Linked DNA regions of Alligator mississippiensis. The protein of the gene in region 1 interacts with the protein of each later gene in a pairwise test. Links are inferred from orthologs where the notes say so. Each region holds a gene or a part of one and is shown in the gene's direction. Other genes may lie near its edges.

Region 1 (7,373 bases):
AGACTAATTTGTACCCTGCCCTGTCTTCTGTCTGACTTCAGATTAACATGACTACTTATCTCTACTAGACATGTTATGAGCAAGTTATTCAAACATTTGACACAGATGCTTTAGTCAGGGATGATCCTGTCTTGAGCAGGTGGATGGGCTAGGTGACCTGCTTCCTGACCTTCCTTCCAGCCCTATTTCTCCATGATTCTGTGATTAATATAACCAATTGCAGTTGCATATTTGTCTAAACTGATCATTAATTAAATAAGAAATGCGAAAAAAAAATGGGAAGTATTTACCAAAATGTAAATCTGATTCCAGGACTAGTATGACCTCACTCTTTTATCATATCATCATGCTTCCTCAAAATAACCCACAAAAGGAAGAGAACATACATTCAAAGTAAAGAGATAAAGTTCTGAGGAAAAGAGCTTTTCGGTAACAAATGTGCTGAACAAAGTCCATGAGGCTGATTACTTTTCAGTGTTCCTAGCCACTCAATCCCTCTGGCAGGGAGATCTAGTTGGAATTTATTGCTAGTGTAGGGAAGGCAGTATTTCCAGGGTCTACTTGGGTAAATAGTAGATGCCTCTAGTTTTAATAAATGATCTAGTGACAAACGGTAGACTAGGATTATGAATCAAAATCTACTAGGATTGACTAGATTTAGAAGGATTACAAGTCATAAAGAACATAGCCCCCCAAAATGACTCTGCTTCTGTTTCCATCACACTCTCACTTTGTCCTTATACATGACTATTCAGATTTGGACACTCCCTATACCTACAAATGCATGGCACCCCTATGAGCACACATATCGCCCCCCTGTATGCCCGTATATTTATAACATACCTTGAAGTCACTTCCTTCACAGCTGCCCTCTAATCTCTTTAGTATGCCTAAAAAAAAAATTGATGACATCATCAGGTGGACACATGGAAAGGAATCTCTAGAGAAATTCCACCAGGACTTTAGTAATCAGGACTCAAAGTAGAGATGATATCCTTGATTAGATCCACAAGATTTTTGCAAAAAAAAAAAATATTTTTTTTTAATTAGAAATTAATGAATTAGTGCTGAAAAGCTTGCACTTAAAGATTTTTTTTTTTGCAAAAATCTTGTGGGTCTAATAAAAGATATAATCTCAACTACGAGTCCTGATTGCTTTTTCCTCTAGGCCAATATGGCTACAACCTGGATACCTGACACCAGGGCTGTAATAACTTTCATCCTTCCATCAAACTGACTCTGGAATACTCCACCTAGAAAATTAATTTCTTAAAAAAATATGGTGAAAGTTTACAATGTCAACATCACCACCACATTTTATCAGAAACCAACTGGCTGCTTGCTACAGCTACCTCTATACCATCAGCTTTTACCCTAAGCATACCACTAGTTCCATCATTCATAGCCAAGTTCCGTGTTACAACTATATTAGCTCTGATCCCACCAACCAGAATGAATACCTCAAGGATATGAAGCAAGGATTCCTATACTTACAACATAATCCAAAAAATGTAGTCTTGCAAATCAACAAAGCCACATTCAGATTCCATTCCAACTTTCTATAGGACCAACCCCATGAGCAGGACAACAGAATCCCTCTTGCCACCTACAAACTTGAATACCTTGGATGCAACATTAATGACCTCCAATACTTCCTGGAAAATGATAACCATCTCAAGGCAGCTGTAGGAGGCTTAGAGGCATCCCTCAAATCTCAAACAATTTATCTCCAGTAACAGATTACCTAAATCCTACTCTCATCAAGGCACCAGGCCCTGCAATGGACCCAGATGCCAGCTGTGCCCCCTCATCAACAGGAATCACATCATTACTGGACCAAACAAGGGGGATTATAACATCTGGGATTCATGTACCTGTTCTTCTACCAATGTCATCATGTTGTTGGCTACAAATGTCCAACTCGGGATCCTTAAAATTCTAGTTTATTAGGCAGATTGAAACACTGTAATCATAAACCTTGGGGATGGTCCCCACACACACACACACATGCACACACATACACACACACAGTAGCAGGCTACAGAGTCAGGTATACCTATCCTACAAGCGCTGGAGTCTGTTGTTGAGGCTTCTTTCAGCGTGGTGTTATCTTCCAGAAGGGGGTCACCGGCTGGTCCTTCTGGCTGGACAGGTCTGGTTGAGTTGGAGATCAAGAGGACGCCACTGAGGGTCACTTTTCACTGCCTTTTATCTGTCCTTGGCAGACTTTGGTGACTCCCCAGTTTTCAGGTTTGCCCAATCCAGGGGTCATTGACCCTCGTGGGACTTCCCCCCCCCCCTCGGTGGCTACTGGATGGCATCTGTCAGCCCCAGGGGTCGTCCACATGTACGTGCAGGTTTGGGAGTCCATTGATGAATTTAGAATAGGGCTCTGGGAGTGGCCGATCTGGAGATATTCAGCCCAAAAGTTGGTCTCTGGCGTTGATTAACTCAGGCCAGGGCTTCTAGCCCTTGATCAGTGAAGTTTAGAGATTTCCCGGTTGTTACATTGTCTTCTATTGAGTTCTTCCCTTGGTTGATCTGCAGCTTCCAGGTGATAATTGCTGTCTGGTGTTACTGTGTTACACATTCAATCACCTTACACATTCAATCACTGATTCACTCTCAGGGGCCAGCCTGATACAAGGAAGGGCAGTTTGATTCCTGCCCTTGTTAACATTGTTACAATGTATAATTTACTTATGAAACTAAACACATTCAGTTGAAAGTTGAAAGGTGAGGAGTATAAAATATAAGCTACAAATGCCATGGCACACAAATAGATAAAAATACCAAACTACAAGGGGAGATACAAAATGCACACACACACATTTTAAAACACAATTCCTTATCTTAAAGTGAAAGAGAGAAGAAGGAAGAAAAGGTAGAAAAAGAGAAACATATCCAAAGAGGGGAGAGCAAATGCAGGCAAGAGAAAAAGGGGGCTTTCTGCTACAATGTGGTTACAGTGCCCCTCTGCTGTCTATATTAGACAAATGAGGCAACCCCTCTGTGAACCAATGAGAGAACACCCATTTGACATCAAGTCCAAAAAAGGACAAAAGCCTTTAATCTTCCTGGACTTTACATTGCTAACCTCAGAGTAGCTGTTCTTATACAGTGATACTTTAAAAGTTGACTCAGACACAAAATTGCAGAACAAGAAATCATTCACAGATTGGATTGTGTTAAGTATGGTCTAAACAGGGACTATGGGTTCTTAACCCATTACCTAAAACAGATTGTTTTACTGCTTCATATACACCCCAAAGGAATTGGGGTGGGTCTCGGAGAGGAAGCATGTCTAATTTATGCCATGCCTGCCAAAAACAGTTGACCCCCATGGATGATATATGACAATGTTATGGAGTATCTGGGCAAATGCATAATTTCTGCTCTTCCCTCACTACTGGATAGGTTTGGAAGGATGTTTAGCGGAGAAGGTGGGATGACTATGGGTGAAGTATTGGTTGCCAGGCTGTGAGCATGTGATGAAGTCTTAGGGCTAAGTGAAGTTCATGGGAACAAAGGTGCAGTGGTGTGGTCAGTGTGTGCCGTGGGCTATGTGTGTCTTACAGGGGTAGTGGACAGGTCGACTTCTCACCTGTGATGAACTTCAGCACAGTGTTTACAAACACAAGCTGTCCCTCACACTCAGGGAAGTGCTGAGTTAGGGGGTGACTCACCAAGGTTACTGTATGTGTTTGCACCTGGTGGGGGCAAAGGGTGTTAGGGGTCTGAAGCATGAAACAGAAGGCTAGCTCCCCACTGACTGTGTGTAGATGCTAGGGGTGAATATGCATGTTTGTGTGTGGGGGGGATCCCTAGGGTCCCCCATCTGTGCTTTCAGGAAGGGGCGCTAAGTCTGGCTCCCTGGGGCTAGAGGCCCTGCTAGAGGGGCACCCTTTATGTAAAGTTTAGATGACTGTTTGTATGGGACGGCTTGGATAGAGACGATCCTGTGTTAGACAGCGGGTTGGATTAGTCACTACATGAACTCTGCAGCTCCCTTCCAGCCCCACTTCCCTATGACTATGCCCATGGCCCGGCTCCACGCATGCGCGGTCCTCTAAGCCTGAGCTCTAGCTCACAGGACACCAGGCACACGAGAGCCGAGAGGAAGAAGCGGTGGAAACCAGGGCCCGCTTACGCAATTTCCTCTCTATCCCGCCTCTCCAGTTCCGCTTGCGTTTCGGGACTGGGAAGGAGGAAAGGGAAGTGACGAAAAATGGGTTCGCAGTGAGCCCAAATTCCCTGCGGCGGAGTGCGCATGCGCACGGCTAGCCATCAGGGCCACGCAGCTGCTGTGGTGGTGGTGGTGGTGGTGGTGGCGGCGGCGGCGGCGCCGGGCGAGGGGGGAGGGGCACCTGCGCATAGTCGGCCCCGCCTTCGGGTTCCGCGGGGGCGGGGCTGGAAGTGACGCAGCGGGGCAGGCTGCGAGGAGCCGATGGCGACGGCCCGGTGTTGACGTCCGCACAGGTGAGGCTCCGCACTGCCCTGGCCCTCGGCAGTCTGCCTTCCTCGCCCCGCGCCAGCCCCGGCAGGCCCGGGGGCGGGGGGGCAGGTGGTAGCCATTGGGCGCGGCGGTTGGGGTCACCGCCTCACGGGCGTTGGGCGGGGGCGTCCTCAGGCGCTTCCTGCCTAGCGGGGGGGGAGCCGCCCCGGCTCCGGGTCACGGTGGCACCGGCCCGACCGGCTGCTCCGGTGACATTGACCGCGCCGTGACCGCCCCGGCCCCCCGGAGCCGCCGGCGGTGGCAGTGACGCTGCGGGCGCCGCAGTGCCCGTGTGCTCTCCCCCCCCCCCCCCCGCGACCCAAAAGCCACGAGCACTGCGTCGCTGTCATACGAAACCCGGTGGGAGCCGGTTTGTTGTTTCAGAGTTTCCCTGTCAGACCTTGCAGCAGGTCTGGCTTATCTCTAGCTGCCTGCTGCTGAGCACCGGGGACGGCGGCCTGCACAGCTGGGCGCTGCTGAAGCTGGTGGGAGGGACCCAAGTTCCTGCCAAACTCTGGGTGCTGGGGTTGGGTGGCTCAACCTAAGCTGTCCCTTCCTTCCCAGCATCTTTAGCACTGCCCCAGTGTCTTCCTTTCTGCTCAGTTGGCTGTTTGTGCAGGTCCCTATTCATTTGTGTCCAGTGAAGTTTTGGTTGTACCCTAGGCCAGGGGGATTACTGTAAGGCTATAAACAGGCAGCCCTTAATGCTTAATCAGCAGATTGGTTCAGGGTATCACTGCTATCAAAACGGGTGCTGACAGGTGCAGCTTAAACGGTAATTTATTCTTTTTTCTAAGGCAAAGTGTTAATTCAGGTACTTCAGAGGTACTTGATGTCCAACCGTGGGCTTGTCCCTCTAGGGCCTGTTGTTCCCTCTAAGATGCAACGCTCACATTGGAATCAAGCTGGTTGTCTGTTTTAGCCCTGTCAGTTCCAGGTTTTATTTAATGCTTGTGTTGATGAAAGCGGAAAACTGCTGCTTGTTTCACATCTAATCTACCAAAAGAACTTGCCCTTGTTTTTTAGTACTTGCTTGTGTTAATACTAAATTAGATGGTAAGAGGCTTAAGAGCTGAGGGCTAGAAATCCTTGCATGGCTTGACAGAACAATGTCTGTTAATCCAGTTGTGCGTGTTGTTTGGGGAAAAACAAGCTATCTTTTTTGCCGGCTTTTAAGAATGAATTCCAGCAAGCCGGCAGGAATATTCTAGGAGGTGATTCTAAGTCTTTGTACTTTAGTGGGGGCTAGACTGGGTCCTCTTGGATGGTATTTCCATTGATTGTGGGGCTGTTGATTTTGAAACTATGGATGAGTAATGTTTGAATTTTTTAAAATCGAAGCCTTGATTTAATCATAGTTTTCAACAAAATGTGCATTCTTGTTGCTGATCTCCTCTATTCATTTAACTTCTTGAAACTTTGCAGATTTAGAGAGAGGTAAGGGCTTGACTTTGTGTACACAAACTTGCAGAGACAAGAGAGGTGATGGGTAGATACTCAGGTCTGTTATCTCTCATTTTCATATAGCACTGTTATCAAGGATGTTATCTGGAGATAGGCAGGTCAGGTTCTTTGGGTAGATGTGATATCTTTTATTAGACCAGTTCAGTAGTTGGGAAAATATTTGTAACATTTGGCAATTTGTGTAACAAGTTCTTTGCAAACTTTCCGGTGCAATCACTCTTCAGGCATAGGGAGACTCCAGAATCTCTTGTGTAGTTGAGATAAGTAGAGAGCTGTTTGATGCACCCCATTTAGATGCATGTTAGTAAGCACTGTTTGATGTTAATAATCTCTTAAATGAAACTAGTACTTTTACCAGGGTAAAAAACCCATAATTGTACTGTTTCAGCTACGTCAAGGACTACACCTTCCCGTCTGCTTTCTCTGCCATGACATAGCGAGGACATCAGCCCTACTAGTCTCCTTTCCAGATCTAGAAGAGCAACAACCAGAAGGAGTTTTAGGGTGAGAAGATTATGGGAATCCCTCATCTATTTTGCCTTCTTTTCTTACATATCTAGCATAATTTAATGTCAAGTGTGTGTTTGAGCCCTCTTATTTCCTTTGTTTTTCCACATAGGGTGGCAGTCTTTTCCTTTCTTGCTGCCCAAATGACCATATTTTGTTGCCTGATGGTGTTTAAATTCCAAAAATGTCACATGCAGGCTGGCATTCTATTTTTGGCATACGTGGCTATTCATACATGTAGGGCTGCACATGCAGAACCAGAGTGCCAACCTGCGTGTAAGTGGCACTTTTGCTTGGCATTCAGAAATAGATGCTAAGGATGGCATTCCATTCTTTTCTGGATTTAGAGGCACCTGTCTGGAATGCTTGTCCGAGTGGCTTTTTCTGTATGGGTCTCTCTCTTTCATTTGCATTTCTTTTGGTATACAAGATTAAACTATATTTTCATTTCCGAAAGTGGTCACTCTGGGTGTAGGCTAAGCCAAAGAGAGTGCTTTGAAGCAGTCTGTGCGCTATCTGTAGATGATGTTCTGTGATTGAAGGAATTCATTTTTAGTGCTTACCTTAAGAAATTAAGTTATGCCTCTTTCCACTAAGTTAATGTTTAACTTCTTTTAGGAAAAGTATTCTTCTAGTAAATTGTTTCTCAAATAATAACTTTGTTATGTTACAGATCAGTCATGTCATCCTTTCAAGAAGTTCCATCTTCAAGTAATGCTTTGCAGACTTCCAACTTTGCACATGTGATCTTTCAAAATGTGGCAAAGAGTTATCTTCCTAATGCACACCTTGAATGCCATTATACTCTGACACAATATATCCATCCTCACCAGAAAGATTGGGTTGGTATTTTCAAGGTAAGCAATTGGTACTCTTTCTCCCCCCTCTGCCCCCCTCCAATATGTTG
Region 2 (7,017 bases), on another chromosome or scaffold:
CTCTGTTTTTGCTGTCCAAGCTCTCACTCTGGTCTTCATTGTCTATAAATAACCACTGGTTGCATAAAGCTTTCCAAAGCATGAAGCCCATCTGCTGCCGCCCCTGTGAAGCCCTCCTGTCACTGGGATGAGAGTGAAAAGGACTTTGGGGAACTGTTGTTTAGTCCAGCAAATTAGAGGTGTCCAAAACCAATGCATGCACACTGTTTCCAGTGTGGGGGTGCCTTGGAAACAAAGGTCCCCCAGAGTACAGCTGCATCTGTCTGCAGGATCTACAAGAACAGGGGGCATTTGTGTCATTCTCGTGGGCTGTCAGGATTTACTAAGAATAAGCGCAGGCTGCTGAACAGAGATGTGATCAAACTGCCACAATCGCTTAGCAGAAGAAGGGTGCTTTCCCCAGCTGCAATAATCAGCTGCTGCTGTTTGCAATAAGCAGTTGGATGAATGCAGCTGCAACGCTCTTCCTTGCCATTATCTTGGCCTTGCAAGACACCCTTCTATGTGGGTTTGTTATAGGAGGGCTCGTCCCCAGCGCCTGCACTGCAGCTCCAGGAACAGCCTTGTGGCAGTTTCTCCTGAAGCCTGGTTTGTTATTATCAGGTTGTTCCAGAGTGGAGCCCAGCATTGGAAAATGCTTTTATTCCTGCCTTGCCCTGCAGAAACCCCACCCTGTCCTGCCTTTTTTAATGTAACCCACTGACACCCATTTCACTCCTGATTCCTCCCACACCAGGGACCAGTTCTTTAAACCAATCAACCCAGTCTTTTCCCACAAGTCAAATTTTTTACCTGCCCTGCAACACAGTGTATTTCTCAAGTGTCTGTGAACCTGTCAGTGGAGCCCCACAACATAAGGGCACTGAATTACATATAGGGAAATGAATAGATTACAAAGCCACAGGGGATCATGGTGATCCCCTAATGTAACCTGTATAACTCAAGCCCAGAAGACTTCCCTAAATCAGTTCTTGTTTGACCTCAGCCTAACCGCTAGAAAAACACCAGCCTTGAGTATAATAATTTCCAGTAATGGAGAAGCCACTGCTGCCCCTTGTCAGTTGTTCCAGTGATGGATTGCTCTCGGTGTTTAAAGAGCTGTGCCCTGTTTCTAGTTCAAACTTGTCCAGATTCAACCCCAGCCAGTGGACCTAGTTCTGCCTTCGTCAACTAGATGATTATCCAATGTTTGTTCTCCAAGCAGGTCCTTAAAGTCTGTAATCCGGTCACTCCTTGGTCTCTTCTCTGACAAGCAAAATAGATTGAGCATCTTGCATCTTCCCTTACAAGGCAGGTTTCCATCCCTGGAGTCATTACCATGGCTCTTCTCTGCACCTTCTCCAGTTTCTCTGCTTCCTCCCTGAACTGCAGATACCAAACTTGGGCCCAGTGTCCTTGTGGGGGTGGATCCAGAAGCAACCATGTAAGCTCCTTGCTCCCTTTGTGATTCCTGTGTTAACACCTCCATGGATCTCTTGGAGGCTGACGTGAGAGCTCATGTCTAATGCCTTATCCACTGTGACCTAAAACTCTCGCAGAGTCGCTGCTTCCCTGGATGGAGCACCCCGCACCCCTCCCCAAAAAGGGTAGTTGGTATACTTTATTCTTAGACAAAGGACTTAATTTGGCAATACGGGAACACACATGGACCCAGCCTGCCAAATGCTCCAGCAACAGCAACCTGCCCTCCTCATTTCTGGTCATTCTCTCCATTTCAGTGTCATCTGAAAAAGGCACTGGCAACAACTCTGTGAGCATGTCTACATGTGTATTTACACTGGCTTAAATTTACTGCTCAGTAAATTACTGCACAGTAAGCCGGAATAGGCTGGCATCTACACATGCAGATGTTAAAGTGCATTAACGCTGTGTGTGGACTGATTTGGGACTAAAGTTAATCCCAAGTCAGTCCACCCACACAGTCTTACTGCGCAGTAAGGCGTCTACATGTGTTTTACTGCGCAGTAACTAATTGGTCGTAAATTTGATACCTGCATGATGCTGGTGTCAAATTTACGCTCAAGTCAGCATAAGTCACCATATTTACTATGCAGTATGGGCGTGCACATGTAGACGTGTGCCCATACTGTGCAGTAATTTTGGTCACTGCGCAGTAAATGTGCACGTGTAGATGTGCCCTGTGTTTCCTTCCAGGGCATTGACCAATCTGTTGAACAATATAGGAATCCAAATTCACCCCTGTAAGGCCCCACAAGCACCCCCATTACCAATGACACTGGGAGGCATTAGGCAGTTTTTAAGTTCTTCTTGTGCCATGCCAATATGTACGTGCTGGTTTCTCAATCACTTGCCATGCAGAATACAAGTCAGGTGCCTCACAGCCTGGATTCTGCTCCTCTACCTTCCTCCACATCTGAGCAGAAAAGCTCACAGGTGGCTCCAAAGAAAACTGAAAGATCCCTGCCAGCTCAGTGCCCCAGCAATGCTCCCAGCTGTTTTCGAACATTTCTCCACCAAAAAAAAGATACTGCGTTATTTGACGAGGCCTATTTTCCTCCAACCCATATTGACTAGTGTTAATTACCCTCTCTGAACTCTTTGTTCATGGAGTCCTTTATCAGATGCTCCATTATTTTGCCTGGGGCTGGTGTCAGGCCGGCCAATCTATAGATATAATTTTAAATATTGGCATGAGAGGAGCTGTCTCCCAGTCCTTTGGGACTTCTCCAGTGTAGTACTGCACATCAGCATTAGTGGTTCCAAGAGCTCTTCAGCCAGCTCTTTTCAAACTCTTGGATGCAAGTTATATCCGGACCTGTTTAGTTGAAAATGTCTAGCTTTACACATAGTCTTTTAACATCTTCCCAAGTTACTGCTGGAATGGAAAGTATTTTATCATGTGATATGACTACATCTGCTTTTTCCCCAATGGCAGATCAGAAATATTTATTCAGCACTGCTAACTTTTTTGGAATGATTATTGACACTTCTACCATTTCCATCTAGTCATGGACCAGTGCCACTGTTAGGATTCCTTATATACCTAATATACCTCCCACTTGCAGTCCTTCATTTCTGCAGACCATTCATTCCCCTTTGTGGCCTTTTGCTTCCCTCATCAATTTTTGGCCATCCCTTGTTGCTTCCATTTCATAAGGAATGTTACCAATTTTCCCCATTCATTCGTTGGTTTAGCTACCTTCACTTCCCCTGTAAGCCAGGGTGGGTTTTTTTCACCAGTGCAAACTTCTTTCTCAGTTGTCCTTGTCTGAGCATTTAGTAAGATGTTGTGGAACAGTTCCTCATTAATCCCCCCTGTTGTTCCTCTTTAAGTCCTTTCCTTTCAGCTGATTTGGCTCAAAACTGTTTTCAGCAGAAAAAGCCAGCCCTTTTGAAGATGCGAGGTCCATAGATTGCTGGCTTGGACTTTATTCTGTTTGCAAATAACACGTCAGCAAGTCATGGTTGCTTCAGACACCTTTTTAATTCTGCGATCATTTCCTCTTTGGCGCTCCAGGTGAGGTCCAAGCTCGAATTCCCCCAGGCTGGAGGCACCACATTTTGAGTCTGAAGATGCAACTGTTTGAAGCACTTCTGTGAATGCAGTAGGTTTTGCCAACAGAGACACTATTAAGAAAAATAAATGCAGATCTGAACACAGGCACCAAACCCATTGTGCGCTCGAGGCCCCAATCCTGAAATATTGCCTCCAGCCAGCCTCAGTGGCTTTTGTGGTGCTTAGTCGAGGGATCTGGCTAGGGATCAGATGTCAACTGTGAGTTGTAAATGCTTCATTGTGCAGAATCCTCCTTGTCTAAGAGTGATTACAATTCCCTGCCAAATTCCTCTGCCCTCCTCCGCAGCCTGAGTTGGGAAGATCACAGGTACTTCCAAACACTTTGGTTCACCTGAAACATCCCTCCCATTTCCATAGCAAAGCTCCCCGCTACCAGCCCTGTGCGGGGGTGGAGAGGGGAAGGGAGAGGGAGGCAGGGAACCCAGTAACAGCCTTTGGCCAAAAGTCTGTTTGCTCACAGATCACACCCACAAGAGTCACTGCAGACGGAAGTGGGGAATGTCTGCATGACACACTCACAAACTTCCCTGGCTCCACACTCGCTCGCTCAGTTTCTGCCTAGCGCTCTCACTCCCAGCTGCTCCTGGATTATCCCAGTTGCTCTCAATATGGGGAACATAACTTGTGTTCCCCAGCCACCTGGGAGATTCAGACACTCGTTCAGACACTCGTTCAGCAGGAAACCTTCGCTGAAGAAAGAGTAAGTATGCTCGCTTTTACTTAGGACTGGGTTTAAAGCTTTGCTGCTGCTTTCCCCCTTTGCAGTACACCAGCAGAGACTGGGCTAGTAACCCAGACTGTTTCAGGGCACCCAGGGGCTGCTTTCGGGCTTAGCAAATATGAATTCTGCATGGTTTTGCATGAGGCTGGACAGCTGTGAACAAGATCAAGGTAGGGCAAGGGCCAGAGTGGGACTTCTGGAGCTCTGGAGGGCGAGCGGCTGCATATTGTTGCCTCCTCTATGCAACAGTGATTTATACCATTGTATTTTAGAAATGAAAACTTCTCCATGGCACTCGTGGGGGACAGTGAAACAGCTGTCCTTCCTTTTCCCCGAGATTTTTTTATTTTTTTTTATTTCTTCCTAAGACCTCCGGCACTGCCTCATCAGCGGATAAGAATGTCAGCGACTGCAGGCACCAGCATCAGAGCTGGTTTAGAGGGGAACGCTCCAAATCCAGGCAGCTTGAATTACTGGATTCATGCTGTGCTTTTTTGTTTAACCCCTAAAGGGAAACCATTCCAGATGCATCCCCTTGAGGGACTTGTGCTGCTGATTTCCCTGCAAGGTGCCCTGACATGAGGGTGATGGGCAACAGCATAAAACCCAAATGAGGGCAGTGCCAATCTGAGTCTGCAGCCTGCGCTTACCAAATATTGCCCACCTCTGCAATCGTGCCAGCTCATTCAGTCCCCCTGGCATTGTCTGTGCTGCTGCTTGCTAGAGAAGTGGAATCTGCAAAGGGCTCTGCCCCAAATGCGAGCTCTGGGCTGCAGCCGGGGCGTTAGCTTTGTCAAGTGCTGCAATTTCTTTCCCCATCACTGTCTGAAGATGCAAATGGCAACGCTGTGAGAGCAGTGGCATGAATCACCCCCGCTCTGGGATGCTATCCCCAACCCCTGTTGGTCTGCTCCGGCCTGCTTTCCCTCTCCTTCATACCAGTGTAGAGCAGGTAACAGCATTCAGGGGAGTTGCTTTGGGCTAATGCAGGTATAAATGAGAGGAGAATTTAGACCCACCAGAGCTGGCCACAAGCTTACAGTGAAAAGGTTGAACCATGTCAGGTGTCAAGTACCTTCCCCTTCCCCTGACATCCCTGGGTTATGTTGCCTTCACTATGGGATCTCCACTCCAGCCCCTTGCAGGTGACAGTTTGGTCCTGAGAGCATTCATGCTGCCATTTGGCTAGGAGAGCTAAAACAGCCCATGAGTCCCTGCTCGAGATGCATGTTAGATCATTGCCACCATGCATGTTCACAGGTGTGCTTGTGATGCAGGTACCAAGCAGGAAGGATGGAGCTCTGCTCTAGTTTTGAAGGATGAGATAGGGCAGGCACAAAGAGGAAAAGAAAAGTGGGTGGGTATGGGTGTGGGGTGAGCCCTGGGAGGATCTGATCCATCCCTCCCCACCTTGAAGGCTGTTGGAAGACCATCCCCACTGGATCTATCTGCAAGCTGCCCCCTCTGTTATCTGCACAGTGCTGGAGATAAACTCTTGAGCATTTAGTTATGCAAAGGTAAGTAAACAACACAAAGAAAAGCCAACAAGTGCTGCAGAGAAGCAATTAACATTCTTGCAAGCTAATTATAGACCTTTATTGGGGAGGGTTGCAGGATGGCCAACTCTCCCTTTCTCCCTGATTTCTGAGGAATTTGCTCCCTGCTAGCTTTGATCTCAGTGTTTTATTTCTTTGTAGACAAGACAGCAAGAAAAAACTGAGCAGCTTCTTTGGCATTGAATCAGGACAGGAGAGAGAGATCACCACAGACAAAATACTGCAATATATTCCAGGCAAGGCAAGTACCAACACATCCAGTCGTCATGTTCTTGGGAAGGTGTTCTGGCCCGCTGTAGGGCTTACCTGTGCGTGGGAACCTGTGTATGCGAGGCGGATAAGGGTTTCTGTGTGAGGGGGACCAAATGAACAGATGGCTTCAGTCCCAGCTCCTGGGGGTTGCCTGCTCTGGGATTCTGGTGCAGCCACCTCTGGGTGGGGACTGGGAAGCCTTGCCATCAACCTGACCCATCTGGAATAGGGGTGCGGGGCTGGGAGCAAGGGAGGCAGGCCAGCTGGGAATGTATTGCTCTTCCTTTGCTGCTCTTGTTTCTGGGCAGAGTAAGAACAGGAGGAAAATTATAGAGAACACACAAAAGAGAGGATGATTCATTCCCACGCTGGAATGAGAGGCAGCACCCAGGCCATTAGCAATAAGTCTGGGGAAGGTGAGAAGCAGAAGGAAGTCTGTCCTTGGCATGCCACCCAGCCCTGTTTCCTTAGCTTCTGAGTCCTGGCGTGTTTGTGTTACGACAGCATCCTGAGGCCCCACAAAGATGTCTCCCCATTGCAGGGGGGCTTCTATGAGAGCTAGTCCCTGACCCCATAGAGCTGAGTGTGTCAAAAGGCAGGACAGGCCCAGGGCAGGGAAAACAGAGCTGCAGGGGAAACGGTCTCTCCCCTCAGGCTGCACAGCAGGTCAGTAGCAATGCTGGGAACAAAAGTGAGGACTTGCAGGCTCCAGGCCAGACCTTTGCTAGACAGGTGCATTGTAATGAGGTGGTGCAGGGAAGCATAGGTGCAAGGTAGGGAGGGGCACAGAGGGGCATGTGCCCCCCCCTACCCTGACATGGCTATCCCCGCTGCTGACACCGCCAACTCCATCCCTGCTTGCAGCAGCTTCTGTGGGTGCCCCCCCCAGAGTCAAGAGGCACCTGTCACCTATGTAGGGAACGCAAATCCCTGTCTGTCCCAGGTCCTCC
Region 3 (7,704 bases), on another chromosome or scaffold:
TCTCCAGGGGTACGCACAGTGGCGGGGAGCTGACTACCCCCCTCTCCCACACCTCTGGATGAGCCACCTGTGGCTCTGTTGCATGACCTGTGACCTGACCCATCTGTGAGTCTGGCCCCTCACTCCCAAGCCACAGCCCTGACCCACAGTATCCCACATCCTGCCAGAGTGTGCCACCCTCCCCAGCCTCCAAACCCCACACACACCCACACCTTTGCAAATAAAAGCACCCCTCCCCCCCGCCACACATACACTTGGAAAAATAATCTCATGAATTACATACCGAATCTCTTGAATTTTAAGAGTTTGTCTCGTGATTTTTGACACGGTAGGGTTGGCAATACTGTAGTCAGAATCTGTTAAAGCGATGACTAGGTTTTATAAGTCACAGTAAAAATATTTGACAAACTTGCTCATAGGGGTTTAAACTTTGAGGCAGTGTTTGACCATATTTAGCCATGAGCGGACATATCTGGGCATGTTGGAGCAAACCTGTGTTCTCCAGAAATGGAGCGCTCCTGATCCTGATCATTCAAACACTTGTTAATTAACAGAATTAAATCACAGACAGTGCATATTAACGGCATATACCAATGTGGATTAAGTCTAGTCTTAATTTCTATTCTGACATGTTTGACGACAGTTATATTTGCAGTTTTCTGATCTTACACATGAATTTTCATAGGTCAAAAACTGAAATGTGACTGAATGTGCTTATTAGATAAGTTAAGCAATTATTACTTGTAAAGCTTAATTTGCTGGATGGTCTGGCTAAGTCTATTGTAGGTGTTTCTCGTAGGTGGCTGGCTGGCTGGCTGGCTGGCTGGCTGGCTGGCTGCCAGACAGGCACCCACATTTCTTCATTTTCATCTTCAGTGGTTTTAAGCTTGTTCTTAGAACAGACTCTGCTTTATGTGGAAAGCTAATAACTGCTTCTGTAAGCATTAATAAGCAATGGCATAGGCTTTGGGAAAAACACTGCAGAAATGACTGGGGAAAGTTTGGCTGTCAGGGTTTACAGAGAAGTCTTATTGCTGGAATTTTCAGTATAAATAGAAGCTCATCTTTAAACTTCAGCTAAGTTACTTCTTTAGAAGTATTTTTGTAAAACAGCCTCTTTAAAAGCTGTGAAGAAGTGACTCACAGCAGAGGCAGTAACATCACAGCTCTGGAAGAGCCTTTTGGTCACTGGTACCTCTGGCTGATGGTTCAGAAGAGAAATCTCTTCCTGGAAATGGAAAGAGAAGGTCAAGGTAGGCTCTCAAAAGTGAGTGGGTTGAGGAATATGCCATGACTTGTCAGCATGAAGGAACCCTAAAGATTATCATCCCAGTGCCTGAAAGGTGCTGAGGTCTTAGAGCATCCAACTTCTCACTCTTCAAACCTGAAGCTCTCTCTCCAAATGACACTATAAATTAAATGGAAGAAAGCACACACATCTTAAACCATAAGGTTACAAGTGTAACCCGGGTGGTACTCCAAGAGGTACCCCCTCTCCAATTGAAGGGAGCAGAGCAGGAGCACAAGCGCTGTGGGAGGTGTAGGGACTCTCCTCCCCCTATAGAGCAGAGCTAGACCACCAATGGGGACTTAACCATATAACTTTTAATGAGGGAACAATACTGGGAACATAGCCAGTATAAACCAGGGGGGGGCATAGGGGACACTACAATGCCCTAAAGGGGCAGGATTAAACAAAGGTTAGACACTTACAATCATAGACATATTCATCCAGTTGTCAAAAGACGGGGTTCACCAAAATGTAAAACACAAACAGCAGAACAAACAACACTGGTTGGTATTACTGGAAATACAAAAGGTACAAAATATCAAATTACAAGGAATATAGGGCCTAGGTACCTGGAGGGGGAGAAAGAGGGAAAACACAATGGCCCCTTCCCACTGCAATAGGAATTTCTCCTTGGCTCACTCACCCCAAGTCACTAAAGCTGGGACTTGAATGCAGATCTCCCACATGGTAGGCAGAAAGTCTGCCACACCAGTGCTGGTACTGCTCCCAGCTGCGAGGGGTCTTGACCTTCCTGGAGCCCCAGCCTCACATCGAGCTGCCTGGGCTCTGATTGAAGGAGCTGGAAGCAGAGCTGGGAACCTCTCAGGTTGCTGCTCAGATCTTGCTGGAGCTGGAGAGCCTTTCCTGCTGGCCACAGCCTCTCATAGAGGATGCTGGAGCCCAGTGGGGAACCTCTCCTACCAGCCGCATACTGCACTGCTGAGGACCCCAGTGCTGCCTGCAGGTCCCACTCCTTCAGGCTCTTCTGGGGCAACTGCTCCTGCCCTGCTGGCTCAGCTCTTGCCAGCTCCTTGAAGCTCCTTCCTTGTGGTCCCTCACTGGTCTCCCTTGAATCAGCCGTGCTGCCCCTTTTATCTCCCTCCAGGTGACCCACAGGGTCAATCAGGGGACCTGGAGGTTGAGTCTCTGGGGCCTGATTGGTGAGGAAAGGGAATCCCAAGTCCTCCAATTCTTTTACCCCTTCAAAACCCCTGGGCCAAATCATTACCAGATTGGTGAGGAAAGGGAATCCCAAGTCCTCCAATCATCTTTTGCCCTTTCAAAACCCCTGGTCTAAGTCATTACCAGCCAGCCCGTCACACAAGCTATCCCAATATTTTAAGAAAGCAGTAGCAAAAGTCCTAGCTTAATGTAGTCATCTAAGCCACATTTTTTTCAGTGATATAAACAGCCAGGGAGGAAGAAGTACAATTTACTTGCTATTTCAGCTCAGCTGGATGTCAAAGTTTGAAGCCTCTGTGATCTTCTGTCTGAGTCTTCTCCTACCCCTATTAAAAAGCATGTTTTCAGAGTATGCTTTTTGGATCTTTCACCTCTTGTATTTCTATTGTTGTTGCTGGGGAGATCGGTATCTCAACATGGCTTTGTAATGGATGCGTAGTTAACATGTAGTCTCAGGTTCTGTGAATTATACCATGATAACGGTATTTTTTTGCAGCTACTGTTGCTTCAGAAATATAATTGGCATCTTAATCAAAATACTCACAGGACTGTGGAAAAAACTACATACTATATATAGTCTCTTACCAGGTAAACAGTGACTAAAAAAATTAATTGCTCAAGTAAGTTAAAGTTCTTTTTTTCTGTCTGCACCAAATGAACCACAATTCATCTACTCAGTTCTAATTTTCCAAATTAAAATCTTCATACCCAGGCTTTGTCTCCCTAAGCTTGTCTTATGCTTTCTCCTTATGAACCGATGGCCACTTCGCCACTTCCATTCTGCAACTGTAACAAATTAGACACATGACATCTCTCATGGGAAGGAGCCAAATGCATCAAACGTTGCAATATACCTATGCCAAGCATCACCGTTCTCTTTTTTCATGTAAATAGTATGGAGTGCAACAACTATATCCCATAACAAGCAGGGCCAGACACAGGCCTGGGCGAACCAAGAGGCCACCCGGGGCCAGACAGAAAGAGGGCCCAAAATGGTTATTTAAAAATTATTATTATTATCTCTGGTGAAGGGGGACCTGATACTAAAAGTTTGCCGGGGGCCACCAGGAGTCTAGGTACAGTGCTGATAACAAGGTACAGAATATGTAATGAAGCACCTTATTTAGCTACATGAACCCAGAGAAGATGAGTAGGCAAAATGCACAACGTTTCCTCTAACTCCTCAAACTGGATAGAGTGCTGACAATGACATCCCTAGTTTCTGAAATAAAATCTCCCTTCAGGAGTTAGAAATAGCATGAAGAAAGCAGTATGATGCTGGGATGGATGCCTAGCCTGCTGCTGGTCACCTTTTAAGAATAAAAGGTTAGTTTTCAAAGTAAAGTAACTTTTCTGAGCCTCTTACCTTAGTAACATAAAAAAGTAATACCTAATCAGCAGCCATCTTTCTACGTCTGTCTGCAGGAAGTATATTCAAGAACATGCATGTTTTTGGCCACATACAGACAATCATTTTCTCCTGCCCTCTCAGGAGAAACTACAAGCATACAGATATTTAGGATTTTTCTCTCGGAGCAAAAATGGACACTCTAGGACAAAAATAACCTGGGAACAACCAGGGTCAAATCGCTCCCAACAGAGTTTCTCCTGGGAAAGTGAATGTTTATATGCATTTTCTTCTGAGAAGCCACAGAATTGACCTCCAGCTGGGGTGACCATTCTTATACCGGACTGTCCTGTTTTTAAACCCTTTGTCTCCTATGCATTTCTGAATGAGGAACAGATTGCAAAAACTCCTGCTTTTCAGTTCATTGGTGGAGATACATGTCAAGCATTTGTCCTTGTGATTCTATTGGTTGTGCCTAGAAGTAGGGCAGTGCACAGCTAGGAGGAGCAGGGTTTGGAACTAGCCAGGGATAGAGGGAGGTGGAGGATCCCAGTGGCCCTACCCCTTGCTGCTGATTGGCTGAGGCAGTTGTCCTGCCACTTACCGCTGATTGGCCAAAGGGGCCAGTGGTCCCACCCCTCACCAAGGGGGATGTCTTATATTCTGGGGATGTGGCAGTGGCAACTCTACCTTCAGCATCCCAGGGTGCTTTGCTCCCTCCCCTCAGGGGACAGTGTGTCACTCGGTACACTCTGCTGCTGCAGCCAAGCAGGTTGCAAAACACGCCCCCTTTGCAATCCAACATCGTGTTGCTGGGAAACAGACTCACTTTGAGCAGGCTAGGTTAGCCAATCAGGGATGCCCCATGTACTGCTACCGTTTTGTCTCCTGGCAGACTAAGGAAGCCTTCAGAGCATGCTGAGATGTGTACACAGGATCCCCCTGGCTGTGCAGCATCAACACTGCAAAATCTCTACTCTTCAAGGGTTCAGGGTTTGAATATCTGTTCAGGTGTCTCCAGCTAAGTCTTTCTACCAGGGGAATTCTCCCAGATTACTTGAATGTGTGTATGCAACCTTTGTAAGCTGACTTCTGGTACAGCATGGTAAGTAAAGAGGTTGTAATTTTTACTACTAGAACAGATCCCTGCTTAGGCTAGGAAAAAGTCAATTGGGAGGACTTCAGGTTAAAGACAGAGGGACTGGTTCTTGAATGTACTACTTCAGGGTGCTTCTATGTTGTGATTTTTTTTTAATCTCCACTTTTCATGTATTTTGAATTTCTTTTTTGTGTTGTCTTCTATGCAGCAAGTGTAGCTTCCTGGTGGAAATAGTTTCACCGCAGTATGTTTTCAGTATTTGGTCCATACTTTTTTGAATTGCATATTTTGTTTAGTTACTGGATAAAAGATTGACTTGAATTGGTGATGGTTACTAACTATGCAACGTTTTTATCTCAGAGCATTGGGCATATTTCAATTTTGTTAAATGGGACAGTCAAGGCACAGGTTCTGGTTGTTATAATTCCTTGCCTGACTGTACAGCTTTGAGAAAAAACTGTGTGTAGATCTATTTAATGTACTCTTTGGGGCATTTGTCTCTCCTGGAGACTGCTGCTTGCCTCTTCCAGAGCAGCCATAAGCCAAGCAGTCATCTTCTAGTTGTCCTTAGTAAATGGCTAATTACAGAAACTTCTTAGGACTCTGCTATTTGGCTTGTAAATGATGGATAAGGATGAGGAGTATGTTAAGTTACTATTGTGGGACTGGGCATTGGGAAGAGGGCAAGGCCAAGAGTTAGCTGTGAGTGATAACTTAGCAAGCCCCTTTTTTGGTAGCAGGGGATGAAGCTACACGTGAAAAAACAGGGTAAGGTTATTTACAGCACACACCACTGAGTAGGGGAGGAGAAACATTACAGAAGTCTGCCAAACGGTGTAGAGAGGACATACCTATTTGAAAGTCTTGTGTGAGCCTTAAAGAGGTAGAAGGAAATGGGAGTGTGGCTGCTTTGATCCTCCTTCTCCAGAGCAATAGGACTTTGTTGCTTTAGCTAAAGAACATCTTGCTAGTATAGAGCTAGTTCAACAGTTCTCACAGTGTCCCCAGAAGACTCCATTGCAAGGTCCTTTAAATCAGTGGTTTTCATACTTCCTAAAATAGTGAAACACTTTCATGCCACTTGTTCTTCTGTAGAACCCCTACCCCTGGCTACAGGGTGTGTGAGCTGATGCAGAGCCAGGAGACCCAGCCCAGAAATGGCAACACACTCCCTTATGGCCTGCTTCATCATTATCCCCCATTTCTTTGTGGAACTCCTGCCGACCTATTGTGGAAATCCAGTGGAATACAGGTTGAAGACTACTACTTTAAATCACTGTGGCTCACCTGTGCAAGAGGATCTATTTGGGGTGTGTGAAGCCCAACAGTGCTTTACAAATAGACAAAAAATCAGCATGGTCTTAGGCAGGAAAAGACTGTGAAGGGATCCTCCCATGTATACATATATGGGCTGTTTGTGATCATTATCCATCAGCATTATAAACCAATTGTACTTCTTGTTCTGAACAGCAGTAGCACCATGGAAGGTTAGGGGAGAATGTGAATGGAGGTGCTTTTCAAAATCCTGATACCCTAACCAAATTCTAACAGTGCAAATGTTGTGTTTTGGGGCATTTTAGTAAACAAAACATTCAGCAACTTTGCAACTGAGCTTTGATTTAAGTAACAAGGAGAAGAAATGAAATTCTGGGGAAGTGATAGTAAACCTGGTTTACAAGCTATGATTAGATCTTTTTCCATATGTGTTAGGAGAGAAAGTCTGGAAACTATAGGGAAACACTGTTTTACATGCAAGGTGAACATACTTTGCCTAATTTAGGTCAGCAAGTATATAAACTGGCAGCTTTTTAAATTTCCATGCTGATTAGCTTTGCATTAGTACCTACTGAAGATAGTGCAGTTGGAAGATGTCTCTTTGATACTGAGACACAAGAAGAACTACAAACTTGAAAAATGCAGATAAATGTTATTCATTAGACCAGTGGTTTTCAACCTTTTTTCATTTGCAGACCCCTAAAACATTTCAAATAGAGGTGCAGACCCCTTTGAATTTGTAAGTGTCGGTGTTCAGATACTTTTGATTGATCGTAGTCATCTTTTGCAGACTTCTTAGATGTAGCCTGCAGACCACAGGTTGAAAACCACTGTATTGGACACTTTTACATGTGCTCTGATGTGTTTGAATTAATTGAGTCTGTGGGAGTGTGCAAATCGGAACGCTCCAGCTTGCTGCAGCATCTTGTGTATTCATTGAATGAACTTTAGTTAGTGCTCCCGCTGCCATTTTGAAAAGCAGGACGCTGAATCCATGAGATGCCGTGGGCATTTTAATTGGAGCGGCTCCTGAGAGTTGCTCTAATTAAAACACTCCCCTTCCCCTCCCCACCTCAGAGCACGTGTATAGGTGCCCTTGGAGGATTAGCAGTGTTATGTAGGAGCCCTGTCCTGAACCTGCTCTAGAGGATGCCACTTTAGGGGAAGGAATACTAGGCCTCTGTTAAAGCAGTAATACTAGGAGCACAGCCACAGCCCTGAGAGTGGTCTTGCTATTCCCAAAGAAGACTGGTCCAATTCAGGTGAACCCATAAGGAATAAAAGGAAGGCTGAGCTGAGATGGAACCAAAGCCTAGAAAGAAAACTTGGTTGGAAAGAAATGAGGGAAAGCCAGATGTCACTCCTGAGACTGGCACCAGGAGCTAGGAACCGGTAAACTGATGTTAGCAGAACATGGCTGCAGGGCACTATGCTTAGATCAGTGGTTCTCAACCCTTTTTTGCTAGGACCCGCTGCTGAGAATGGAGTGTAGCAGTGGCGGCGCAGGGG
Region 4 (7,866 bases), on another chromosome or scaffold:
AGGAGGTGCAGCAGCGCATCCAGGACCTCACCATGGGCATCCAGGAGGAGACCCTCAAGCAGAGAAAGCAGAGGTGCTACCCCTGGAGGCACGGGTCATTAGCTAACAAGGAAGCTAGGGGCAGAAATCTGTCTCCCCAGCACTGGGAGGGCTAGTGTGGGGGGTGGTCAGGAGCCCGGATGCCTGGGTTCTTTCCTGGCTTGAAGCCTGGTGGGTTAGAGCAGAGGGGCTGGGAGCCAGGACACGTGTACTATTCGGCTCTGGGAGTGCACTTGGGATGGGTGGGTTAGAGCTGGAAGCTTGGATGCCTGGGTTCTGTCCCAGCTCTAGTCAGTCTTGCATTCCTACACACACTTCAGTGTGTGAGTGCACACATGGGTATGTCCCAGATGCCTGGGGGTGGGTGGGTGTGTGTGTGTGTGTGTGTGTGTGACCTGGATGCCTGGCTTGTGCATGCATGTGTATGTGTGATAAACCTGGACACTGGGTTTATTTGTGTGTGCATGTGAGAGAGAGACCCAGATGCCTGGGTCTTTTCTGCATGAGTGGCGGGGGGTGTGTGTGTGTGTGCGCGCACGCACGCACGTGTGGCAGGTGCTTGAGTCTAGTGTGTGTGCATGAGAGAGAGACTCAGGTGCCTGGGTTCTGTGCGTGCGTGTGTGTGTGTGTGACCTGAACATGTGGATCATGCGTGTGTGTATATGAGACGGAGAGAGAGAGAGACCTGGACACCTGGGTTCATTTGTGTGTGTGTGTGAGACACCCAGATCCTTGGGTCCTGTGTGAGTGCATGTGACCCAGATGCCTGGGTTCTCTGTGTGTCACAGACACCTCAGTTGTGTGTGTATTTGACCTGGATTCATTTGTGTATGTGTTTGTGACCCAGATGCCTGGGTTCTGCATGTGTATGTGAGACACAGATACCTGGGTCAGTGTGTGTGTATGTGATATGCTTGGATGCCTTGGGCTCATTTTGTGCATGTGCACACGTGTGTGACCCAGACACCTAGGTTCTGAGTGTATGTGCATGTATGTGTGTGCCCCCACCCAGCTGACCCCTCACTTCCTGCCATACCACACACTCCAGGGCATCTCTGGCCGTGGCTGGGTACAATTCCTGTACCCCACAGCCACCCCCTCTTCTGCTTTCAGGCTGGAGTTTGAGCAGCAGCTGGATGAACTGATGGAGAAGCACAAGACCCTGCAGGAAGGGCATGTAAGAGACATGGGAGGGTCTCCTCATGGGGAGCCCGGATGCCTGGATTTTCTCCCAGCACCAGGAAGGGAGTGAGGCCCAGTTAGTTGGTTGGGAGCCAGGACACCTGGGTTCTCTAACAGCTTTGGGAATAGAGTGGGGTCTGGTAGGTTAGAACAGGGTGCTGGAAGCCTGGACACCTGGGTTCTCTCCCCATTCTGAGAAGACAGGGAGTCAGTCACGTGAGTTCCCTGGGTAATTAACCCAGAGTTAATTAATTCCCCCTCTCCTCAGACCATGGATAAGCTAGCTGTTGAGATCCAGAACATGTCAGACAGCTGGGAGCGGCTGCTGAGAGAAGGTGAGCAAAGGGGCACTTGGCATGATGTTGGCCTGAGGGGTCTGTACAGCACTTGATGCCTCCTGATCCTGGCCTGGGGTGTCTGTACAGTGCATGGTACCCCTGATACCAGCTGGGGGGGGTCTGTACAGCACCTGGCATGTCCTGTGACACCCTCCCCACTGGCCCAGATGAACTGATCCAGGCCAAGCTGATGCAGTTGAAGCAAAGTTGTATGTGCTGGCCCAGGCTGGGGCTGGCGCCGTGAAGAGAGGAGGTTCCTGAAGAGCCCGGAGGCCAGTGCTGCCCTGTGAGTGCCTGGGTTCCCTGGGAGAGAAGAGGGACTGGCGGGATTAGAGCAGGTGGGTCTGGGAGCCCAGATGCTTGGGTTCTCTCCCAATAGGTATCAGAAGTGGGAAGGTTGAGGGTCATTTTGCCCCCCAGCCTAGATCCCAGACACCTGGATTCTGTCTTTGACTGGGTGTGGAGTCTTGTGTTTTACAGGGAGGGTAGGAGCCAGGACTCCTTGATTCCCACTGCATCTTGGAGGCAGAAGTGGGGGCTGGGAATGGGCAGGGGATGGGAGCCTGGATGCCTAGGTTCACTGGGCAGTGAGAGAAGGGGGGACTAGGAGCCCGAATGCTTGGGTTCTCTGGGAGGGGAGTGGGGGTTGTGGGTGAGAACAGCGGGGACTGGGAGCCAGGACATCTGGCTTCTCTGGGATGGGTGTGTGAGCTTGGGGTTGAAAGCAGGTGGTCTGGATGCCTAGGTTCTGCTCTGTGGCTTGACTAGAAGGCAGTTCCGGCCCCCCATATACAATGCCAGATGTGGCACCCTGGCGTGGGGTGGGAGGATGTCTGGTGCTCACCCTCTGCCCTTCCCCAGACAGCTGCTGCAGCAGGAGAACCAAGGTGCCCATTCCCAGTTGGAGGTTGCCACCCAACGCCACTGCCAGGGGCTGCAGCGATGCAACCGTGAGGGATGCCTGGGTTCTGTCCAGTTCTGGGAGGGGAGTGTGACCTGGAAAGTTAGAATGGGGCTGGAAGGTGCCTGGGTCCTTTTCAGCTCTGGGAGGGAAGTTGAGCCTGGTAGGTTTGAGCAGGGGGACTTGGAGCTGGGACACCTGGGTTCTCCCTAGCTCCAGGAAAGGAGTGTAGGCTTGGTGGGTTGGAGACCTGGGGCTGGAGCCCAGATGCCACCGGTGTTCTGTCTGAGTTTTAGGAGGGGAGTCGGAGAGCAGAGGGGCCTGGGCAGCTGGACACCTGGGTTCCCTTCCAGCTGTGAGAGCTGGGGTCTCCTGGCAAGATCAGGCTGCAGCCCTGGTGGCCAAGCCTGGCAGCCTCTCTTGCCGCATCCCAGCTAGGGTGGGGTGAGGTGGGATTGGCTCCTCTCCAGAGGTGGATGCATTCTCTAATACTCGCCCCCCTCCTCCTTCCAGGCTGAAGGTGGAGCTGGAGGGCCAGGGGTGGAGGAGCAGCACCAGCAGGCATGTGGGCTGAGGATTAGGGTGGGGATGGAAGAGTAGATCCAAGATGTGTATGGGGATGGGCAGAGAGATGGAGGCATAGGGTGGGGGGATGTGTATAGGGATGGATGGGTGGATGAGGTGATGGAGGGAAGGATACAAGGGTGTGTATGGGGGGGAATGGAGGAATGATGTTTATAGGGCAGGTAGAGGGATGGTTACAGGTGTGTGTACAAGGACAGATGGATGGATACAGGTGTGTGTGTGTGTATAGGGATTGATGGATAGAAGGCTATAGGGGTGTTTTATATGGATATAGAGAGGGAGGGATGGATACAGGGTGTGTATGGGGATGGATGGGGTGTAGAGGGATGGATGTGGGGGGGTGATGTTTGGAAGGTATGGATGAGTGGGGGATGAGGGGAGGGAGGAAGAGGGATGGATGGATGGATACACAAGAGTATGTATAGGGATGGACAGGGAGGGATGGACACAGGAGTATGTATGGGATGAGGGGATGCCTGGACACGGGTGTGCATGGGGAGGGAGGGAGGGAGGGATGGATGGATGAGGGTGCAGGTGGATGGAACTGTGGGGGGCAGGACCTTCTCTGTCGCAGACCACCAAGGAGGGCAAGTCCAGTGCTGGGCCCCCATTGAGCTGGGTGCCTGTACCCTGCTTGTCCCCCCCCCCCCCCCCCCCCCCCCCCAATCTGCCCACAGCTGGCACCAGGGACCAGAAGGTGGCTGCGTGACACCAGGATGGCACCCTATGTTGGAGTGAACCCCTATTGTCTGGGCATTCGTCCTCCCTCCAGCTTGGTACCAATAAAGCCATCACCCACCCAGCATCTTCTCACTGCTGTTGGGGGCAGGAATGGGAAGGGTGGATAGCCCTGACACCTGGGTTCTCTTCCTGCTCTGGGAGGGGAGTGGTGGTACTGGGGAGGGAGAGCTGGCAGGGTTGGGAGCTTGGACACCTGGGTTCTTAGGGAGGGGAGTGGGGGTTGAGCATCCATCCCCATACACTCCTTTAGATCCATATCCATCCCTCCCTTCATCCACATCATATCCCTGGAACCAGAGATGACCCAAGCAGGGTGCAGCCTGTGCAGGGCCCTGCCCCTGCACGCCCTAGACCCAAAGAAGCTGGTGGTGGATTTGGGGGGTCGGGGATTTCCGAGCAGCCAGACATGAAGCCGGCAGCAGCAGCACTCAGTTGCCGTGGCCGCTCTGCCCAGTTCTGTGGGGGTCCCAAAGTGCCGGGTTGGGGGTGGCTGCCCCAGCTTGCCCGCTGCCTAAGGACAGCCGTGCCTGGAACCATCTCTTCATCAATCCCTAAACATGCCCCTCCCCCCATACCTTTGCATCTCTAGCCATCTGTCCTTCCCCATATATACCCCATATCTCCATCCATTCCCATACTCAACCCCGATCCATCTCTCCATCGCTACACCCGTTCTATCCCTCCCTCTATTTACCCATCCATCTATCCTTCCCTGTAGACACCTCTGAATCCATCTCTCCCTCAAATCATTCTTTCTTTGACTCAATCCGTCCAATCCGTTGGGTGGCGTTCGATTCAACGTGTCTGGTACTTGACACAATCAAAGATGGCCACACCGCAGTGTCATAAGTCAGACGGCCACATAGTAGAAGCGGTGGCGGCCATGTTTGGTGCGGGTGGAGAAGCGGAGCGCTTCTGCTGGAAGGAGGGGCCATTTTGAAGGCGGGCACCCTCGGCCACCTTGAGTCCGGTCCCTTCGCCGCTCTTAGACCTCGGCCATGTTTGAAGAGGGCAGAGGAGCGACTAGGCGCTGGGTGATGATCAGTGGAGGGGTTCGAGGCAGGCAGGATGACCCGGAAGCGGAAGTACCGCGGAAGTCAGAGATTCTTTCGAGTCCCTTGTTTTGTTGGTTCCTCGCAAAACAAGGGACCCTCAGCGGCAGCTATGGTGAGGGGTCCCGGACACCTGTGTTGTGTGGGTGGGGGGAAGGGCTGGGGCTTGGATGCCTGGGTTTTCTGGGAGTTGGGGGGGCATCTCGGACACCTGGATTCCCGTGAAGGGGGGCGCTAGGAGACCGTGCGCCTGAGTTCTTGAGAGGAGGGGTGTGTCGGACATCTGGGTTCTCGGGGGCGGGGGGTCGGAGCAGGGGAATCCTGGACACCGGGGTTCCCTGACCCTGCCTCGCCCCCAGGACAGCGAGTTCTCGGACGCGGAGCCGGCCGGGGCGAGCGAGGAGACGCGCTCGGAAAATGGGGAGAAACGCGCCGTTTACTGCATCTGCCGCAAGCCCGACATCAACTGCTTCATGATGTGCGCGGGGGGCGGGGCCTGAGCCACGTGGGGCAGTAGGGAGCGGACCTTGAGCCTGGGGACAGGGTCTGAGTGAAAGGAGGAGGGCCGTGAGGGTGGGGACGGGGTCTGAGCCTGTGTGTGGGGGGAGCATGAGGATTGGGGGCAATCTCTGCTTTGAGGGGAGCCTGTTGCCCAGAGGTGGGCTTTGGGGGCGGGGCCTGAGCCATGGAGGTGGGGCTTGTGCCCTTGGCTGGTGGGGGTGGGGGGCAGGGCTGGAGCCATAGGATTGGGCCAGAGATGTTGGAAATGGGCGGGGGGGGGGTCAGCCTGTTCCACAAGGATAGACTATGGGGTTGGGGTCTGTGCCATTGCAGGAAGACTGTGGGGTTGGGTGTAAACCAAGGATTAGGATGGGGCCAGGGATTTGGGGTGGGGGGCATGGCCTTGGCAGGGTCTCACCTCCTGCTCCTCTATTTCCCCGCCCCCCCATAGTGGGTGTGACAACTGCAATGAGTGGTTCCATGGTGACTGCATCAATATCACGGAGAAGATGGCCAAGGCCATTCGGGAGTGGTACTGCCTACAGTGCCGTGGTGAGGGACTGGATGCCTGGGTTCGTTGGGAGGGCAGTGGGGGCTCGTGGGTTAGACCAGGGGGGTTGGGAACTGGATGCCTGGATTCTTTTGGGCGGGGGGAGTGAGAGTAGTGGGGTAAGGGGCCTTGGCGCCTAGACACCTGGATTCTCTAGGAGGTGACTGGGAACTGGAGGGTGAGAGTAGGTAGGGCTGAAAGCCAGAGGCCTGGGTTCTCCCCAGGTAGAGGAGGAGAGTTGGGCCTGGCCCTTGAGAATATTGGCTGCTGGAAGCCCAGATGCTTTTTTGTTCTCTGAGAGGAGAGTGAGGGCTGGGAGTGTTAGAGCAGGAGGTGCTAGGAGCTTGATGCCTGGGCTCTCTCTGGGGGAGCTGGGTGGAGCAGAGCAGCGAGGGCCGGCCCAGACTGCTGGGTCTCTTTTTCTCCCTAGAGAAGGATCCATCACTGGAGATCCGGTACCGTCACAAGAAGTCAAAGGAGAAGGAGAGGGACCATGAGCGTGACCGACCTGATAAGGATGATCTGCGTAAGAAGGCCCAGGAGCTGGGCATAGACCAGGCCCGTGGATCCAAGGTGAGGGGGCAGGGCTAGAGGTGCAGCCTGGCCTGTGGAGGTGAGGTCAGGCAGGGAATGACCTCACAGCATCTTCTAGGTGCTTGCTATGGAACTTTCTGCCCCCCCCCCCCCCCACCCCCCCCCCCCCCCCCCCCCCCCGTTCCATGTCTGGACAGGAACCAACAACTGGCTCCAACTGCCATCCAGGCCCTGGTTGGTGGGTGGAGTTAAGGGGGTAAGCCCTGGCCAGCCCTTAACTTCACTCTCCTCAACTACATAAAAGCTAAGGGTAAGCCCTGGCATTGACTCTTTGATTCATTGCCTTATCTGGCATTGGACTGGTGGGCAGAGTTAAGGGGGAAACTGAGGTTGTGTCCTTGATTGGCTGCCTTATCTGGCATCTGGTTAGTGGACAGAGGTAGAGTGAGCCCTGGTCAGCCTCCGATTGGTCCCTTTAGCTGTCATGTGATTGAGTGGATTTAAGGGTAAACCCTGGGCTTGGGTCTCTGGTCCCATCTAATTTGTGGGCAGAGTCAAGGAGAAGCTCTGGCCAGCCTTTCTGAGTGGATATGCGGTAATTGGCCAGCGTTAAGGGTAAATCCTGGGCTTGGGTCTCTGATTGGTCCTCTTGTCTGGCATCATATTGGTGGGCAGAGTTAAGGGTAAGCCTTGGGGATGGCTCTCTGTTTGGGCCCTTATTTTGTTATTGGTTGGACAGTTATGGTTAATCCCTGGCTAGTGACTCTAATTTCCTTATCTCATGTCTGATTGCTGGGTAGAGTAAGGGTAAACCTTTGCTGGCCTCTCTAATTGATTGATTGGTTTCATTATCTCGTTCAGTTGGTGGACAATCAGAGAGCCACCCCCATGGTTTTCCCTTAACTCTGCCACCAATCAGATGTGAGATAAAGGAATCAACAACACTGTCCAGGGCTTACCCTTAATTTAGCCCAATCAGAGTCAAGATAAGGGACCACTCGGCCAACCCTGGGATTTACCTTTAACTCTGCCCACCAATCGGATGTGAGATAACAAGCCAAAGTTAAGGGCAAGCCTTGGCCAGCCTCTTTAAACGGTCCCTTATGTGTCACTCCATTGGTGGAGTTAAGGGTAAGCCCTGGCCAGTGTCTCTGGCCCATTATTCCTCATGTAATTGGTCAGCACAGTTAAGGGTAAACTGTGGGGTTTCAGTCTCTGGTACCTTATTTCACATCTGAACATCAGGCAGCGTTAAGGGCAAACCCTGGCCAGCTTCTCTGGCTCCCTTATCTCATTCCTAATTGGCAGGCAGCGTTAAGGGCAGACCTTGGTCAGCATCTCTGATTGGCTCCCTTCTCTTTCACTTGATTGGTGGACAGAGTTAAGGGTAAATCCTAGGGTCGGGTCTCTGCATGCTCCCTTATTTTGCATCAGATTGGGCAG

Evidence for each region.
Region 2: the proteins of TAX1BP1 (region 1) and PLEKHN1 interact in binary tests that used the Homo sapiens proteins (3 or more experiments, as listed by UniProt). The two-hybrid records come from large-scale screens. The link is inferred for Alligator mississippiensis from reciprocal best matches to the Homo sapiens genes TAX1BP1 and PLEKHN1.
Region 3: the proteins of TAX1BP1 (region 1) and LGALS8 interact in binary tests that used the Homo sapiens proteins (3 or more experiments, as listed by UniProt). The link is inferred for Alligator mississippiensis from reciprocal best matches to the Homo sapiens genes TAX1BP1 and LGALS8.
Region 4: the proteins of TAX1BP1 (region 1) and CXXC1 interact in binary tests that used the Homo sapiens proteins (3 or more experiments, as listed by UniProt). The two-hybrid records come from large-scale screens. The link is inferred for Alligator mississippiensis from reciprocal best matches to the Homo sapiens genes TAX1BP1 and CXXC1.

Annotation. Positions count from the first base shown.
Region 1 is NC_081828.1:155,583,182-155,590,554, reverse strand, and holds the start of TAX1BP1 (tax1-binding protein 1), read left to right. Parts: upstream 1-4,361; 5' UTR 4,362-4,479; intron 4,480-6,347; exon of another isoform or gene 6,348-6,463; intron 6,464-7,139; 5' UTR 7,140-7,146; coding exon 7,147-7,323; intron 7,324-7,373.
Region 2 is NC_081836.1:9,515,039-9,522,055, reverse strand, and holds the start of PLEKHN1 (pleckstrin homology domain-containing family N member 1), read left to right. Parts: upstream 1-4,003; 5' UTR 4,004-4,044; coding exon 4,045-4,238; intron 4,239-5,956; coding exon 5,957-6,056; intron 6,057-7,017. UniProt on the Homo sapiens protein: Controls the stability of the leptin mRNA harboring an AU-rich element (ARE) in its 3' UTR, in cooperation with the RNA stabilizer ELAVL1.
Region 3 is NC_081824.1:153,842,942-153,850,645, forward strand, and holds the start of LGALS8 (galectin-8), read left to right. Parts: upstream 1-4,686; 5' UTR 4,687-4,923; coding exon of another isoform or gene 4,924-4,926; intron 4,927-7,704.
Region 4 is NC_081831.1:27,528,971-27,536,836, reverse strand, and holds the start of CXXC1 (CXXC-type zinc finger protein 1), read left to right. Parts: upstream 1-4,854; coding exon 4,855-4,871; intron 4,872-5,103; coding exon 5,104-5,316; intron 5,317-5,790; coding exon 5,791-5,891; intron 5,892-6,319; coding exon 6,320-6,462; intron 6,463-7,866. Other genes in the region: synaptonemal complex central element protein 1, read left to right, coding at 1-73, 1,153-1,216, 1,490-1,556, 1,727-1,803. UniProt on the Homo sapiens protein: Transcriptional activator that exhibits a unique DNA binding specificity for CpG unmethylated motifs with a preference for CpGG.